3 linked regions of the Cricetulus griseus genome follow. The protein of the gene in region 1 interacts with the protein of each later gene in a biochemical or structural test. Links are inferred from orthologs where the notes say so. Each region holds a gene or a part of one and is shown on either strand. Other genes may lie near its edges.

Region 1 (6,610 bases):
GTTGTCCTCTGACCTCCATACTCTCACATGGCATAAATATGCATGCACTCACACATACATACACAAAAAATCAAGAACTAAAAAAATCCATAAAGCAATAAAGATTAAAATGCAGGCCAGATGTGGTGACACACCTTGATCTTAGGAAGGAGGCTGAGGCAGTTGGAACTCTTGAGTTCGAGGCCAACCTGGTCTACAGAGATAGTTCCAGGACAGCCAGGGCTACAGAGAAACCCTGTCTAGAAATAAACAAAAACAAAAAGATTTTGTTTATTTTTTGTACCAGCACATGCCTGGAGCTCCCTAGAGGACGGGAGGAATCAAATACCTGAAACTGGAGTGACAATAGCTGTGAGTCTCCTTGTGGGTGCTGGGAACCTAACCTTGAACCTCTGGAAGAGCAGCCAGTGTTCTTAACCAGTTAGTCATCTCTCCAGCACCCATAAAGGCTTTATATTTACGTTCTCTTCAGTTAAACTTAAGAGTTTTCAAGTTTTGGGGGTTTTTTGTTTTTTGTTTTTTTGGCTGGTTGGTATTTCAAGACAGGGTTTCTCTGTGTAGTCCTGGCTGTCCTGGAGCTTACTCTGTTGATCAGGCTGGCCTCAAACACAAAAGATTTGCCTGGCTCTGCAAAAGCAAGTTTTGATCAGTTATATACTATTACATACACAAAATTTTATGTCCCTATCAAATACAAATAAAAGAAATTAAGCTTTTGTGTTTTGTTGTTGTTGTCTGAGACAGGGTTTCTCTGGGTAGTCCTGGCTGTATTGGAACTCACTGGCAGGATTAAGTATTTTGAGATGTTTTGACAGGTGAATTCCAATTCAACTGTTTAAATTAAAAAACAAAACAAACAAACAAAAAACCTGGTGCTGGGTGGTGGTGCACACCTTTATTCCCAGTACTGGGGAGGCAGAAGCAGGTGCATCTTTGTGACTTCAAGGTCAGCCTGGTCTATAGAGTGAGTTCCAGGAGAGGCTCCAAAGCTACACAGAGAAACCCTGTCTTGAAAAACAAATAAACAACAAACAAACAAAACTGTTGGAAGAATCATTTGGCCTTTTAACTTTGCATAAAGAATGTTTAATGATTCATTCAAAACTACTTGGGTTTTTATCTGCTGTGTATCCTGTTCGTTTTAAAACTTTTTGGTTTTAGCTTTCTGGGAGGTAGAGTGGACTAGAACCTGTAACTCTGAAGTATTCTAGGCTAGCAATCTAGAGTGACAAAAACCTGCACTCCCAGCATTGAGAAGATAAGAGAAGTATCCAAGTTCCAGGACAACCTGAGCAACATAGGAAGACTGTCTCAAAGCCCAAATGCTGGGCCAGACTGATGGACAGACCTGTTAATCCCTGTTACTCAGATAAAGTAGGAGGATCACAACTTAAAGTCAGCTTGAACGATTTAGCAAAAAGCAAAATTATGTTTCAAGGGGGGGAGGGATAGGGAAGAAGGAAGGAAATAAATGGAAGTTTACTAAACACAAATGTTAACTTTTAGTGCAATTCTCAACAGCCAAGACAAGGTAGAAATTTATATATGTACTGATCAACGATACACAGAACAGTACTTTACTAATATTTGTTTGGCAAAAGTGTACTTTCTCCCAGTAAACTGCAAACCATCAAAGAATGAATGACATTTAAATCCCAGTATGTTATACCACAATACTACTGAGTTAAATAACTTTTGATAGCTCTTTCAATACCTGTTCAAAAAAGGGAACTCAAAAACAGGACATCACTGAAGTAAAGTACAAGACACTGAGTTCTTTTAAAAGCAAAAGAAAACTGAACAACTTCAAAGCAAAACACAGAATTCACATCTAACAGTAATTAATATAGTTCTGAAGGAGTTTCTTAAAACAAGTAACAAGAGCACAGAATATTTACACTGGAAATAGTGTCTTCTTTGACACTGTATGACCTATAAAGATTTACCTGCAGTCTCACTTCAAAAGCTTAAAAATAAAGAGAGGCTGGAGAGATGGCTCAGAGGCTAAAAGCATGTACTGCTCTTGTAGAGGACATGGAATCAGTTTCTAGCACCCACAGAGCAGCTCACAACTGCCTGAAATTCCACTTTCAGGAAATCCAAATACCCTCTTCCACCCGAAACGGTAATGCAAGTGATGCACATATATACATGCAGGCAAAGCACTCATACGTAAATAAATAAAATAAAACTTCAAAAGATTTTAAAAATAAAGCATCAAGCCAGTGGTGCACGCCTTTAGTATCAGCACTCAGGAGGCAGAGGCAGGTGGATCTCTGTGATTTTGAGGCCAGCCTGGTCTATAGAGTGAGGGCCAGGACAGCCTCCAAAGCTACAGAGAAACCCTGTCTCGAAAAACCAATCAATCAATCAATCAATAAATAAATAAATAAATAAAGCACCAACATAAATTTTAGAAGTACCAAGAGATATGACTCGGTTCAAGTTATAAACTTAGGTTTAAGCTGGGCGTTGGTGTCGCACACCTTTAATCCCAGTACTCGGGAGGCAGAGGCAGGTGGATCTCTGTGAGTTCGAGGCCAGTCTGATCTACAGAGTGAGTGCCAGGATAGGCTCCAAAGATACACAGAGAAACCCTGTCTCGAAAAACCAAAAAACAAAAAACAAACAAACAAATAAAAAAACTTAGGTTTAAGTCACTTAAATGTGAACTCAAATAAGTTATTTCTCTTTTGCAGTTGTAAAAACCTAGGCTGAGATAAAATAGGGGTGACTCAACCACACTCACCTAACCTGAAATGTAGGAAATAACTGGTGAATTATTGTTAATTTTTTTTTTATTAAAGCACGATAGATTGCAAACAGACATTAAAAACAGAATTAGAGTAATGAGGCTATCAGTACTTCGAGGATCCACAGGTTTCAAATCAAAACTTAAGAGGTATAAAGTCTGACAAATACTACAGGCAACGGTGGAAATGGACGCTTAAAATTCAACTACCCTGAGAAAAGTCAACATATGAAGTCAGCAAAGATCATTGCTATACAAACACCTGAAGGTTGAAGTCACTAAGAGATCATTCAGCTCGCTCTTCTGTTAACTAATCCCTATAGGAACCAAAAAAGTTATTTTCCTTTCTACCTACGTCAGATTAATATTCTCCAAGGGCAGATTTCCGTGCTCAAGCACTTACAACGCCAAAAGAATAAAGAAAAAAAAATATGTATCAGTAAGTGCCTGAAAGCTCAGCGTTCAGGGCAGAAAGGAAATCCAGAAAGTATTTTGACAGCTCCTTCCCACCTAAAGCCTCTCTGCCTGCTTTAAACCCATTTACTACTGAAATACACCCTAGGTGGTTCGACGGCTCTCCAACACCAAGCCCTAACTGGGAAGCATAACCCACAGTTCCAGGCAATGAGAAAGATCCGGAGAATTACTAGAAACGGACGTCCGCAGAACCAAGAGTTGGAGAAGAAGGTGCAGTCGCAGGTACGTTTTTAAAAAGCAGGGGCGGGGGGGAGGCGGAAAAATTTAGACCAGAAGTTAGTCGAAGGGTTAGAAGGAGGCGAGGCCGATGTCCAGTTCTGAGCAGACGGCATCGCAGGCACAGGCATTACCCCTGCATGTGGAAATGCTGAGAGTTCTCACATCTGACCCGAGTCCACGACACAAGAACACTGATAAGAGACTCGGAGAGGACACGCGGGGGTGGGGCCCGCCCCGCTAAATCCGAGGTTCCCTGAACCGGCTTTCAAAGGAGGCTCGCAGCCTGATAAAGTCAATGGGTTCAAGGAGGCCTGCACCGGCTGGACAACGCCACACTAGAGGGAGCGCCCGCGCACCGAAGCTCCTGCTCAGAAGCCTCTGAGGGTCGGTCGGCCCTCAGTAAGTCCGAGCAAGCCTTGGGGCTCCCCGGTCCCACCTGCCCAACCTGGGTCCTCCTCACCCCCCACAGGCTGAGACCGGACCCCTGGGACTGACAGGAGGTTTCCAGCCAAACGCTCGCAGCCGCGGCGGAGCCAAAGACACAACCTGCTCTCAGTGCCGCGAGTGACACTCACCGGCCCGAAACCTCGAATGAAACCAGCAGCTTCGGGGGCGGCGGCAGCAGTGGCAGCAGGAACCGAACATCCAAAATGGCGGCTCCCTCGGCCTCACCACCGCTACTGCAGGCGGAGGGATCCCGGGAAGGGAGGGAGTTTCTAACTCACTTCACGCGCTCTCGAGAAGACGGCGCTCCTCAGCTCCCTCTCCTCGTCAACTCCGCGCCCCTTGAACTGCAACCTCTCCTGTTTCCCACCTCGGACGACCCGAAAACTCGGACCCTGCCGAGGACTATTTGCCAAGGAGGAGGCGACTGCGCCTGGCAGAGCGACGCAAAGCGTAGCAAGGGTCGGGGCTGTCACTGATGACGCTAGACGCGGCTGCCGAGTCACCGCTGCGAAGAGTCTTAACTAGAAAGATCCGGCGGTCCCCAGAGTCAGCGCACTTTGGTTCCACTTGGAAGCAGGGTTGGGGAAGGAAGCTGTGCTACCAGGAAACGGTGGGGCCACCTGAGGGGGCGGGGCTAGGCAAGGTAGCTGGAGAAGGTTGAGGGAGAGGCAGGTGGAAACGCAGCACACTTAACTAGGATTTAGTCCTAAAGAATTCCTAAATCGTCCCCGTCACCTTGAGTCCTTAGCTTTGTGTTCAACTTCAGAAGCATGCTCCAAGTGGTCTTGGAGTCTGTGGTTTTATTGTATCTTCATAAAAATTTTACGAAAACAGGTAGAAGATGAAGCAGAAGAATGGGTTCCACGCACATCACCACCCCTGTGCTTTAGTCACCTAATCTCGCCAACCTTTCAGTTCCCTCCTGTGGGAAAAGAGAATCTGGATAAATGACAGCCAAAACTCCTCCAAAATTGGCTTCCAATCTACCATTAAATGAACTAATGACCTGAGCCAAAGAAAGTCTAGCTAGACAGTTCCGGACGTGATAAATAATTGCTAACTTGTGACAAAAGTCTTTTCCATGTGAATCGAGAGATCCTTGATATCTTGGCCCATTTAAAGGAAAGGTGACCTACCTAGAATAAAATCTTTCCAATAGATTGGCAACAAAGTCGTCCCGGGTGTCAACAAAACACAGTACTAGACTGAACGCCAAAGACAGGGAACTAAGCACAAATCCTAGGTTCGAGACATTGGCGTCATAAACAGGAAGTTGCACCTTTTTCCTTAGGCATTCGTTTTTTATGCAAGGATTTCAAAATACTTTACAGACGTTGAACTGGGTATGCCTAGCGGTACAGTTTTGACCTTGTATTTCTGGGGCATGCCAAGTGCCTGGAAAGAAAGGACGCCAAGGGCATGATCACATTTCTTTATTAAATATTGGTATGCCATTGTTCATAAGGCACCTTCATATGTACAACCCAACCCTGTAAGCAATCTCTTGAATCCAAGTAAGTAACCCAGTTTTACAAATAGACTTAAGACTTATCGGGCAGTGGTGGCACATGCCTTTAATCCCAGCACTCAGGAGGCAGAGGCAGGTGGATCTCTATGAGTTCGAGGCCAACCTGGTCTACAGAGCGAGTTCCAGGACACGCTCCAAAGCCATACAGAGAAACCCTGTCTCCTTAAAAAAAAAAAGGGGGGGGGGGCTTTTTAGGCAGCAGTGGTGGCCGCACTACCTGTAAGAGGCTAGGCAGAGGGACCGTGAGTTGGAGGCTAGCTTCAGCTGCAGAATAATTTTATCTCATAAAGGCCACCCCGTAAGAAATACTGAACACTAAAAGGAAAATAGTAACTTAAACCCTCTCTCTGTTGTTATTTTCTTCACTTATATTTTCCTTTATTTAAATTACCACTCCATTAACATGGTGTGGCAGTATACAATGAAATCCCAGCACTTAGGAAGTAGAGGTAGGAAGATCAGAGATATATATAGAAAGTTTGAGGCTAGCTTTGGCTACCTATGACCCTATCTCAAAAAGATTAAAATAAAACAAAACCCTAGCTGTAACCTTACTATTCTGATATGACATATGTCCAAAAAATATTATTAAAATAAGATTTGGGATGCTGGAGAGATGTTTTAGTAGTTAAAAGTATTTGATGCTCTTGCAGAAAAGCAAAGTTCAGATCCTAGCTTCCATGTCAGGAATATTCAGCTCCACAGAGTCTGACACCTTCTCCTGGCCTCCATGCACAGGGCAGACACTCACACAGACACACATGCATATACATAACTAAACATTTTAAATCTTTTAGATGAGCTCTTAAAATTGTATGCATACATAAAAAGACTGAGGAGCAAAATTAAAATATGAAAATGATTATCTTTGGATGGCAGGATTATAAAAAATGTGTTTGCAATGATGATATCTTTTTTTAAAAAGTTTTGCACATTTTGAAAAGAAACCTTTATTGGAAAATGTTCCCTCTCCAAAGTCACAGAGAAACCCTATCTCAAAACCCCTCCCCAAAGAAAAAAGAAAACAAAAAAAAAAAAAAAAAGAAAAGAAAAGAAAATGCCCCCTACTGGCCTCTGGCATCAGGGCTATGGAGAGTTGTGATAGTCTCATGTAGCTCAGGCTGGCCTCAAACTTAAGGGTGTCCACTCTTTACAAAGTGCTGAAGATTGTAGGTCATTTCTAACAC
Region 2 (6,049 bases), on another chromosome or scaffold:
AGGTGATTGACTTTGTTGTTGCCATTGTTGGTATAAAAGAATAATCTAAAGTCAAATTGCTTTAATTTAGTTGGCATCTGACTCAGTGGGGAAAGGCACCTGATGACCTGAGTTCAATTCTTGGAACACACAAGGTGGAAGGAGAGGACCTATTCCCATAAGTTGTCCTCTGACTTCCACAGACTTGACTGGGAAAGGATGCACGCATGTGTATGGAAACTATCTGCAAACTATCAGAAAATGGACAGAACTAAAAAAAAATACACTAAGAGCTAGTTTCTGTAGGTTTGGGAGAATATCTAGTTTTTGATTTATGGTTGTATGATCACAATAAAAAGTAGATATTACCAGTTCCTTCCAGAAAGAAATTCTCCTGTAGAGATCTTGCATCAAGGTTGATTTACTCAAGTGGAGAATAACTTTGTACCACCCTTGAGCACTGATGAGCTAGCGGACATCACCTCCAGCTTGCAAGGCGCTGAGCAGCAAACCAAGCAGCTGTGACTTACTAACCACAGCATCTGCTGATGAGAGGACCGCTGTTTCTGTGTTTATTGATCATGGCTTAAACATACCACTGTCTGGTATCCACTAAGGACTACCACACAATTCATTTTAGCCATTTCTTCAGCTCAGCAATAAAACTACACATGAAAAAAACAAACAAACTCACTCTACTTTCCAATGTAGAAAACGATGCTACCCAATCTTTCATTTTATATAGTTTCATAAGACCATCAGAAAAAAATACACTTACAATCCATATAAATTGAGAAAGTCTTAAACATACTAGTGTGATTCTTTAAAAAAGATATTTTTAAAATTTGTATGTGTTTCGCCTGCATGTAAATCTGTGTACTACATGTGTGCTTGGTGCTTGCAGAAGCCAGAAGATGGTGTCTGGTGCCCTGGAACTGGAATGTGGTTGTGAGTCATTATGTGGGTTCTAGGACTTGAACCCAGGTCTTCTGGAAGAGCAGCCAAGTTCTTAACCACTGAGCCATCAAATCACTTCAGCCCCAATAGCGTGATTCTTGATAGGTTATTAATAGTCTTTGAAACAAGTATCTGATCATATAATCATTTAAGACACAATAACTCTAATTGCTTGGCCTTTGCCCCATTAGCCACCTTGCCACTCTCAATAAAGTAGTCTCTCTCTCTCTCTCCTGTTTTTTTTTTTTTTTTTGAGACAGGGTCTCACTGTGTAGTCCTGGCTGTCCTGGAACTCACAGAGAGCCACCTGCCCCTGCCTGCTAAGAGCTGAGAGTAAAGGCTTGCATAACCATGCCCAGCCCACATGAAGTTTATTTAGTTTTCTATACTCCACAGGAAAAAAAATATAAGTAACAATTCCTTCTGCATATTTTGTAACCATGACAGTAAATATTTAGAAATACTTCTATAATATTTAAAGTAACATATCTAAGAGGGGAATGCTGGGCAAAGCATCTTTACTTTACCTGGAACCAAACTCTCATTGTAAATCCAAGGAGGCATTCTGGGCTGAACAGGATCCTGAGAGGGAAACACGGCCACCCCTAGAAGGTAAGGATGGTTAATGATCTGGAGAAGAGAAAAGCCACTGTTTTTTACAAAGAGGAGCACTAGCTGCAGTCACTAGAAAAGTCACCAACATAATATAAGCACTTGGTTTCCAGCAACTCTTGTGCAGTCACTATGAATTAAAACATAAAGAGAGAGTATTAGGTACCAAATCAATAATCGGAGTCACCGGGGGCATGCACCATTTAATGTGTTTGACAAGTTATGGGGAAAACACAATAGACAGTGGCTTAAAATTACGTGTGTAAAATATCCCCCTTGGGTTTGTCTCCAGGGTTGCCCATATCCTGCTTCATCTCCAGTTAAAATATGGATTTAGCTTTTGTGTTTTGAGAACAGGACCTATGGCCATGTGGCTACTGAGTGTACAGTCCACTGCAGCTCAAAGACCTGCTTGACTTTCTCCAGTGCTGTGGGCCGAGTGTGTGAATCTGGATCTTTTAGGTCACAGCACAGACAATTTAGCTCAGACAGAAAGACTGCATTTTCATTGGTGACTTTTTCAGTTACAGATAAACTGTTTAACTTTTACCAAAAACCAGAGAGCATGAGATGAACCAGAAGGGAACTGTTGTCAAATGAGAGGAAATTTTAGATTAGGAGTGATTCCGATTAGGAAACAGGCTTATCAAAATCATTTGAAGAGGAGTAATACAGTTGTTCAAAGAATTCAGAGCAAAATCTTAGAGGTTAATTGGAGAAAAGACTGCATAAATGTTTTTAAGCAAAATCTGAATTAGCACAATCAAGCAGCATCCATTTTAAGATTAATGCTCAAGTGTTAGCGGCTGAGCGGCAGTTGGTTAAACAAAGTTTGTGCTGAATGTTGCAGGAGCTCACCACTCTCTCCATTCGGCAGGTTTTGGTCTGAAGTCTTTTCTGCCTCTGCAGTGGTGAGACCACTTACACATCCATCTACGGCACCCCCGTTACGGGCCATTAAACTGGGGCAGTTCTTACTGGAACCTGGGACTATGGCTTTTTGCCCAACTTCAGGAGTGTTTAATTTAATTTGTTCCTGCCCAGATGTACTTAAATCACAAGATACTAGGAGCTTCTCTTCCAAGGAAGGGCCTAAACAAACAGCATGAAGGATTACTTGTGTATGACTTACATATCCCAATCTTGTCACCATCCCTTCCCACCCTCATGTTCTCAGGGGAAAAACTCCCACAGAGCATGGAATTATATAGTAATTCAATTGTTACCATTGGTGTAGGATTTGAGAGACTTCAGAGGTTTGGGGGAACTCAACATAATTACCCTACTTGGTTCTCAGGGATTCCATGCCACAGGAGGTAGACCCATGCAGTGAGGGGGGGCATGCTGTGGGAATTCGGCAAGCTCCCAGACACAGACAGTGTCTAACTAGTGGGAGACCTGACTGGCCTGTTTTCCACATCTGTCAAATGACGAAGTCTTAAAGACTACAAACAGGTCTCCCAGGACACTTCCCAGCACACTCTGTCTTGAGATAGACTGTGCCTGCCCCATGATTTCACAAATGATTAAAATGGAAGTACAGAAATGTTTAAAGACTTGTCCAAGGATAAAACATGTCACTGCAGAAGGCTGGCCTCAAACCTGAGCAGGTCTGATACCTCTGTCTGCCTAGTACTGGAATTACAGACACGGTCACCACATCCTTCTTAGATGGAGTCCTTCTTTTCTTTTTCTTTCTCTTCCTTTCTTCCTTTCTTCTGCCCTTCCTCCCTTCCTTCCTTTTTTTTCCTTCCATTTTGAAACAGGGTCTTGTGTAGCCCAGGCTGCCTTGAACTATGTAGCTCGAACTCCTGATTTTTCTGCCTCCATGACTCAAGGAATGAATTACAGATGTGTATACCATAGCTGGCTAAGATATCACACTTTAAAAGGGTGTGATTTATTTCTCTTTGTGTGTGTATGTTGGTGCATATGTGAAAGTGAGAACTTATAGGAGTCACTTCTCCCCTTCCAGAGTGTGAGTTCTGGGGATAAACTCAGGTCATCAGGCTTGGTGGCAAGCACATTACCTTCTGAGCCATCTCATTGGCCCTGAAAGATTACTTTTTAATGGCGTTCTCTCTATAGCATTATTTTAACACTATATCAGTGATTCTTTTTTTCCCAAGCAAAAGCATAATCTTAAGAAGTCAGTTTGCTTTTAAAGTTTTCTGGTGGTTTCACCTGTTTCTAACACAACAGCAAAAGGTTTTAAATCACTTTCTAGCAAATGAAGATGCAAAAACTTCATCTAGCCTAGCATTGGTAGCTGTTGATGGTTCTCACAAATAACATACCACGTTTCTTTGCCAATAGCACTGTATAATTCTACATAAATAAGAGAAATAAATTATCCTACAATATCTTAACACTTCGATAATAACACTAGAGTTACCTGCTTTTTGCACACTGTGTGAAGCTGAAGCAGCAGAGAAACAAGGAATTTGCCCAGGGCCACCATGTAAGGCAAAAGACACTGGAACCTGACCTGGAGGGAGAGGCTGTGCTCCAGCCTTCTGTGTGTGCAACTGGCCGAGTGGGGTTGTGGGGAGGAAAGACTGAAAGGGACCGGCCGTGGAAGGGGGCCCACAAGTGGGAACCTCAACAGGTCCCTGCATAAAATCACTGAATTCGTCTTCGTCAAGAAAGGCAGGTGATGGGGAGACAGTTTTAGTAGAATGAGATGATGTGGGACAATCTGCAAAATGGAAAATGGCAATGAAACACACAGGAATGAAAACCGAAGAGAGAAAGAAATCCAGATGTAACACAACCCTCAGAACATACTGAAATATGAACAGTGGAGGTGAGTGAGAACAACAGTCAATGGAACCAGAGTGCTCCTGGAACACCTCGATGTCTGTTTTGTTCTAAAAATAAATTCTAGAGCTATTTTATATTTGGTTGAAGAACAGACAAAATTAACTTACATTTCCTTTTTTCATTTTATTAGGTAGTACTAAGTGTGTATCAAAGTGGTAATTATTTCTGAAATCCAAGTGGTCTGTCTGATAATATCTCTTTTATTTGTCTATATGTTTATTTTTTGAGACAGAGTCTGTCTACTATGGAACTTGCTCTGTAGACCAGGCTGGCCTCAAACTAACAGAGATTGACCTGCCTTGGCCTCCCAAGTGCTGGGATTAAAGGCGTGTGCCACTACATTTGGCCTAGACAATCTTACTAAACAAACAAACAAACAAACAAACAAACATATATGAACAGAGATCTGAACAACACAACACAGTTGATTACTTACTTGCTGCTGAATGCTGGCCACAGATCTGTGCTAACAACAGAACTCTATATGAACACAATGTGGGACCTAACAATGGCCACTGCTCTCTGCCTTTTCTATATTCGGTGCCAGGTCCAGTTTTTGCCCTAACTTTCAATGTTTGTATGCTGACAGGCTCAGCTATATATCTTGTGTTGACCTAGAACTTGCTATGTATGTACTCTAGGCTAGCCTCAAGCTCACAGCTCCTCTACCTTAGCCTCCTGGTGCTGAGTTTACAGGGCTATGTCACCACACTGCCTGAATCACTTCATCACTAGCTTGTATGGCTTATACATAATTTCAGTTCTAGATATACTTTTCCTTATCTCAAAACGATTGATAGTATCTATTCTCCTTCCAATTTTAGTGTATACTTTACTTTGGGCATGATTTTGGTAATAGGAATCAAGGTACATAATCTAATCAGTGAAATAAACAGGATCAAGAATTAATAACAGGCTGGAGAGATGGCTCAGTGGTTAAGAGCACTTAATGCTCTTCCAGAGGACCTGGAGTATGGTTCCTGGCACCCATATCAGTTTCACAACATCTTGTAACTCCAGGCAGGGTGCCCTTGGTGGATACAACACACAGACACACATAAATAAAAATAAATACTTAAAAAAAGGAATTGGCCAGGTGGTGGTGGCGCACACCTTAATTTTTTTTTCCTGATTCTAACTTATAAGAGATACTAAGGCACAAGGATTTAAGATAAAATTTGATGTATTTTCTAGCAGAATATAGTACTTTTTGATTTGATGAATGATTTATAAAAATGGTTTGTCCATTAATAGTATAATATTATTTAAATTAGCTGATAACAAAATGTGAAAATATTTAATTTCAAAGAGATGAGAAAACATTTTGCAAACAATTTCAATTACTAAGTATTTAAAATGACAACAAAACATAAAAAACCCACCCTCTTCTTTACCCTGCTTCTCTAAAAGGCAATTTTATTTGATTACCTCATGATTAAAAACTACAAAGAAATTTACTGAAGAAACTGAGCTTTCCTAAGCAGTATTATAGCCATGACTATTTAAAAATGGGACATTTTGGGAATTTCTAAATTTTGTCATATGAACAACGAAACCTGGCCTAGCTCATAAGAATACACATTCATAATAAAGAAGATAGACTAGTAAACTCACTACATTTCTTTGAGTCAACAGACTTCCTTTTTTCTTTTGTTAAGTCAGGGTCTCTCCTGGCAGA
Region 3 (6,049 bases), on another chromosome or scaffold:
TGGGAATATTGTAAGGAGTCCTTAGTGATTAGAGTGAAGAATTTCAAATGCACTAATTCCAAAGTTCCACACTTCGACTGTTTGACAGGATCAACACAAAGTTATTTAGGCTGCTGAATAATGATGTGTATGTATTAGGGAGGGGAAGAGGGAACGTGCACAATTTCCTAGTTAAGTCTTAAAACATCCCTGTATTTTTGCCTGAGCAAAAGAATGACTGAACTACCTTAGTGTTTGTTACAGATTTAAAACTTAACCATTAGATAAAATAGCAGCATGATGTCAGAACCAGCTGTTGGAACTCGGTATCACAGGAATATTCACAATCTCAAAATATACTGTACAATGTCTATAATTTCATTTCTTCTCTTTTTCTTAAACATTATTACCAACTTTCTTAAAAGACAAGAATGCCATATAGTCTTAAATGATCTCTAGCTCACTATCTAGCCAAAGATGACTCCTTATCCTCCTGCTTCCACATCCCGAGAGGTCAGAGGCTGTGATGCCATACCAAGCTTTTACAGGTCCATCTTAAGAACTCTGTTAGTGATTTTCATGCAGGAAATGTAACAAAGAGTAACTAAGGTGAGGCATGGGGTGCACCCTGGTAACCCTAACACCTGGATGGAATGGCAGGAGCCTAAGGTCATGGCTCTACAATGAGCTTAAGGCCAGCCTGAGCGACCAAAGATTGCTTCAGAGAGAAGGAAACAGTGAAATTTCAATGGTCAGCTTAAAACTCTATGCCTTGTCAACCATCACCTGAAAACCAATACAAATATGAAGCAATCTTTTTTGTAACTGAGCTTCATTTTGCTACTCTGTCACATCACACATTACCTAACTGTCAACTGTTAGAAACTTAGCTGTATTTAAAATATTTCCAAACAAGTATTTTACTCATGTTAACACTGCAAGTCAACCAATCAAAACCCCCACAAAAGCAAACCCCCTAGAAAGCAGGAAACCAGGATTTTCGTATGTTGGGAATGAAGAGACTACTAGAATATCAAGCCATTGGGTTTCTGTTTGGCTGCAAGCAGGAGGAAGGAAGAGAGCGAGCACCATGAGAACATGAAATATGTTCCATTACCTATATTACATAATTGTAGAGAGGGCAGTTTAGTTTATAAGTATCCTGGAGCAAAATGCTTGGATTTCTCCCTCAAACTAGGACTATACTGATGAAATGTAACTGTAATGTAAAGCAATCTCAACTTAAATACAGCACATGGGCTGACAAGAAGGCTGGAGATAAAGCCCCGAACAAAGGGAGAGCAAGAGAATCAACTCTACAAGTGGTCTTCTGACCTGTACTCTGTGCACTCCCATGGGGGTGGGGGGAGGGAAAGAATGGTTTCCCACACAAAGCACAAGAGTTAAATATCCTTTTAAACAGAGGGATTCTAAGGAACATACAAGTTCTGATAATTACAAATAAAGCAAACAACAACAAAATGACCTCACGATTGTATCAATAACCTTGTAAGTAAAACTGATGTTTGACATCTAATTGTATTTCAATGCAAGATAATACTTTGAACATTCAAGAACTCCTGACTCCAATAATGAATTAACAGACAAGACTCTGGTCACATACAACTCTGTCTAAAATATACTGTTTTCTCATCAATACTCTGAACTGCAACATGCACACGTGTCTAACTGGTATTTGAATATAGTTTAGACCTTTAAACCTGAATACGGTGGATCAAAGGAACTCAGCCCACCCTGCCTCAGTGGGAATGTAAGGAAGAACAACCAATGATAGCACCACCCTGGCCAAAACCACTCCGGCAAACATGGGAGGCAAAATAAATAAATAAATTAATTAAAAAAAAAATAAAGAGCAGAGACCAAGGCAGAGAAGCATCCCCAAGGATGGGAGGGCAGAAGGAGGAAAGAAATATAGTGTGGGACTACACACCACTCTATCACTAAGATCCTACCTTACTCAACTCCAGAAATAGCAATGAAACACTCAGCTGCTACGTTTTTCAAGTGAGAGCAAAACCTTTTACACACAGGCCATACGAATCTGTGTCTAAAACATTTAGGGAAGCCAGGAGAGTACTCAAACACTGTTTCCCAAAGTTCAGTGTTCAAAACTAAAACATGCAGGCAGACAGGCTCCCATTACTGACATAAACTCTGTCCCTTCAAAGACCATGTTCCTATAACTCTTGAAAAGGGCATTCTAGAGATTTAATGACTCTGGAATGGCACTGAAAATACACTAAAAATGGGTGTTTAAAAGCCTATTTTAAAAATCAGATTATGTTTTTTATTTGAATTTCATTTCTATGATACCCTAAAACCAAACTATTATGAATCTATGGGTAGGAAAAAGATGCTATTTAGTTTAAAAAAAAAACAAAAAACAAAAAACCCAAAAAACTAATTTTACACAGGTCCACACAATCTGAATGGACCTCTTGTTTTACTTCTCTTGTTTGATATAAGTTCAACATAATCACCTACATCAGAAAATAATGTGTATAAATACAGGCCTGTACTACAATTCTAGATGCCAACTGCACAGGACTCTTCTGGTCATATGGGCATGGGATGGTAATGCAATGTCTCAGGTAGTTAAATTTCAGCTCTTAACTTTCTCTAAAACTTAGTGCGTAGGCATCATCATTTCCCCTACATTATTTTAGACAATGGAATCATCTGATGTCCCAAATTTAAAATGGTGAATAAAAATTTTATCAGAGATAAAAAACTTCAGGACAAGACTAAGATACCTGAAGAAAAATGCAGAAGACAGATGAATCACTATAGAAACAGGCAAGTGTGGACAGGGTGGAAGAAGTGTTAACACTAAGAGCACTTCTATCTGACCCAGTGTCATGAGAGATGGTTTTGGTGTGGGGCTGACTAGCAGCTTTATGAATGATTCCCCATTTGTTTTGCACAGGGCATTTCCAGGGAGTTGACATCACTCTGTAAGACATTACTGGAGAATATCCCACATGTGCCAAACTGCACATCAATACTGGCTTATCAGTTAACAAATGTTACCAAATTAACACAATCTTGAAACTTGGGGGAAGGACAAAGGTTATGTAACAGCCTTCTGTACTTTATAAGCAAGTTTCCTGTGTCCTTAAGACTCCTCTAACAAAGTCTGCTAAAAAACAAAAAGCTAAACTTCAGATAACATCAATATCTCAAAACCAGACAAACCCAAACCAAACAGCTGCAGAAAGCCGACACCCCTCAAGGCAGCAGCAGAGAAGTGGCACACCTGCACCTTTCCGGAGAGTCCTCCCGGTCTTTCCTCCGAAACTTGCTGATGGTGTCGTCGATTGTGCTTCCGATCTTATCGCTCAGCTCCCCTAACTTGTCACTGAATGGAAAAGCACTCTTGTTTTTATCCCACTCTTCATCCCACTTGGACTTGGGCTCAGGATCATATCTTTCATCTGTGTAAACAAGAAAGAAAGAAACAACTAAGGATATTAAACTTGGAGGGAGCCACAGTCCTTCCTTCTGAAGACTTTCTCATAAAACATTACTTTTAAGAGAAAACAGAAATCTCCCACAGAGCCACATGCACACTGCATGGTGCAGCTCATGCCAATCATCTTGTCAGGAACGCAGATTCAAAGCTTTTCTTCATGAGAATGTCACAAACTTGATGACACCCTGAACCCTACTGTAGAGAAGGAGCGGAAACACAAAATACACATTCCATGAACACAAGATGAAGGAAAAGCGTTCTAGTTTTCAAGTCATTAAACGAATCACATTTTATTCTCATCTCAATGGTGCTTAATTTTATGAAGCTAACAACAATATCTTAAAAGAATAGAAAGTAAAGCTAGGTGTTATAGCACAAGTCTGTAATCCCGATATTCAGGAGACGGAGCAAAGGGAGTGCAAGTTCTAGGATGACTCAGGCCACAGCACAACAGAACTTGCTTCCAACAAACAACTAAGAAAGGCAAGGAAGGGGGTGGGGAGGGTGCTGAGACTTGAAGGGACAGGGAGAAGAGAACAAGGCTGGAAGAGTGAGCACACATATGCAAAGCAAACTATCGAGACATGGAGGCAAGAAGCTGTACTCCAGACTGCTACAGATTAAAAGCTGAGTGATCATGAGACCAAGTGTTCAAGGCCATCCAGTGAACTACAACACAGCGAGATATCCTCTCAAAAACAGATGAAAGAGGAAAGACAGACAGACAGAAGAAAGGAAATCTTAACTGGGCAACCAACCAATCTACTCTAAAAACACTTATTTCCCTTAAAGGACAACCTTGAGTTTGACTTCTGTGACCCAATTAGTTGAAACACAATAGATCCTAGAAACACAATAACCGAATGGATTTTAAGGCCTGGGAAAGAAATCTGTAATTTCCATAAAAAGAATTCTAACTTTTCAAACCTACACACTTTAGAACTACAAGCATGTCCAGCAGCTCTGAGCTAATGAGGACCCATCAGAGTGGCTGGAGACACACATGGAGAACCTCTGGAGTGAGTAAAGGACCACAGCGATACCATGATCTGCACTGGTGCTTGTCTGGAGCTCAATGAAGAGATGGGAATTACGGACACAAATAGAAAAAAGCAAAACTGGGATAGAGAGATATCATATGAGGTTTGAAGAACAGAAATGGTATGAACAGAGGCAGGTTAGGAAGCATAAGAAAGGGCAATGGAAAACAGGACAGCAAAAGGGAACTTCTACTCAGAACCCTTGTTTTTACATGCTGTGAGGGTATAGGTGCTATTTGGAAAAGTTCTTAAACATACGCTGCTGAACTGCCTGTTAGAACCTCAAGGCTAGATTTCACCAAGAGTTTAAAGATTTTAAAATACATGTAAAAAGAGCTGGGAACACAGTTCTGAGAGAAGGTTCAGATCTCATGAAGCCTGTGTTTAAATCCATATGCTGCAGAATGAATGGATGAAGGTCATCACCTGATGTCATAAGTAAAACCGCACAAAACAGTTAAAGCTGTTGAGAAATCCAAAAACCATTAATAAGAAACAAAGACTGTTAATGCAAACACAGGCTAGCCCACTGTGACCCTGTCTGCAAACTCACTCAACTTTCTAAATTCATCAGCTACAATTACACACTGTGCTGGTAACAAAATGGGACGCAAACACATAGAAGGAGGAAGTAAGCTGAAAATGGCAATTCAGCGATACAGAAAAAGCCAAGGAACAAAAGGACTACCTGGACAAATCCAGAGCCTTTTCATTATTTCAGAGAAGATAATGACTCCAAGACTTCAGTGCTTACTAGAAGAGACATACATTCCATCGATTCATGCGCTGGCTTTGTGTGATATATGAGGTAAGACTATTTTTGCTGTTAGAAACAACTTTTAATAATAACTAAATGCAGTATTGTTTTTTTCTCTGAAAGCAGGCAAGCAAAGGAACAGAAGAGTGAAAATATTTTATAGGAAATCACAAAATGATACATTTTATTATTTTTGAGACAAGGTTCACCACTATGTCCCTGGCTGGCATGGAACTCCATGTCAACCAGGCTGGCTTCAAACTCAGAGATCTGCCTGCCTCTAGTGTACATCACTATGCCTGGCAACAAGAAGTTTCTTTTTACCCATATCCACAACCTCAACAGATCCAAATGTAAGCAAAGTCAGACAGAGGTGCAGGAGCTGGAGAGCCTCATTGAGCAAATGCTAAGGGTACATACAGCACTGGCCTGCACGTTCACACACTGGCCAGGCACTGTCACAGCTCACAGAAGACAGGACAGGCCTAAGACACATGCTACCCAAAAGAACGTCTATGTTTCAAGCACCCAATGTACTATTTTTACATGAAGAATAAACATTAGAAACAAATGTTCAAGCTGCCTTCTGAGAGGGAGAGGTGGACAGACAGAAACTGGGTCTTGACTAGTCTCAAACTGGCCAGGACTACTCTCAAACTCACTGTCCTGCTTTGGCCTCACAAGTGCTAAGGTTACAGGTGTGCACTATCACACCTGGCTTCCAATTCCTCTCCACTGTGTTATGAACAACAAAGAAAGCAACAGCAGACATACAAGAAG

Evidence for each region. The genes of interacting proteins can lie anywhere in the genome.
Region 2: the proteins of Ap1g1 (region 1) and Synrg form a complex in vitro, tested with the Homo sapiens proteins (2 studies listed by BioGRID). The link is inferred for Cricetulus griseus from reciprocal best matches to the Homo sapiens genes AP1G1 and SYNRG.
Region 3: the proteins of Ap1g1 (region 1) and Clint1 form a complex in vitro, tested with the Homo sapiens proteins (2 studies listed by BioGRID). The link is inferred for Cricetulus griseus from reciprocal best matches to the Homo sapiens genes AP1G1 and CLINT1.

What each region holds. Positions count from the first base shown.
Region 1 is NC_048596.1:186,136,885-186,143,494, reverse strand, and holds the start of Ap1g1 (AP-1 complex subunit gamma-1), read right to left. Parts: upstream 4,361-6,610; 5' UTR 4,174-4,360; intron 4,168-4,173; exon of another isoform or gene 4,024-4,167; intron 1-4,023. UniProt on the Homo sapiens protein: Subunit of clathrin-associated adaptor protein complex 1 that plays a role in protein sorting in the late-Golgi/trans-Golgi network (TGN) and/or endosomes.
Region 2 is NC_048600.1:97,234,279-97,240,327, reverse strand, and holds part of Synrg (synergin gamma), read right to left. Parts: intron 4,247-6,049; coding exon 3,944-4,246; intron 2,641-3,943; coding exon 2,407-2,640; intron 1,542-2,406; coding exon 1,464-1,541; intron 1-1,463. UniProt on the Homo sapiens protein: Plays a role in endocytosis and/or membrane trafficking at the trans-Golgi network (TGN). May act by linking the adapter protein complex AP-1 to other proteins. Component of clathrin-coated vesicles.
Region 3 is NC_048600.1:60,440,961-60,447,009, reverse strand, and holds part of Clint1 (clathrin interactor 1), read right to left. Parts: intron 3,435-6,049; coding exon 3,257-3,434; intron 1-3,256. UniProt on the Homo sapiens protein: Binds to membranes enriched in phosphatidylinositol 4,5-bisphosphate (PtdIns(4,5)P2). May have a role in transport via clathrin-coated vesicles from the trans-Golgi network to endosomes. Stimulates clathrin assembly.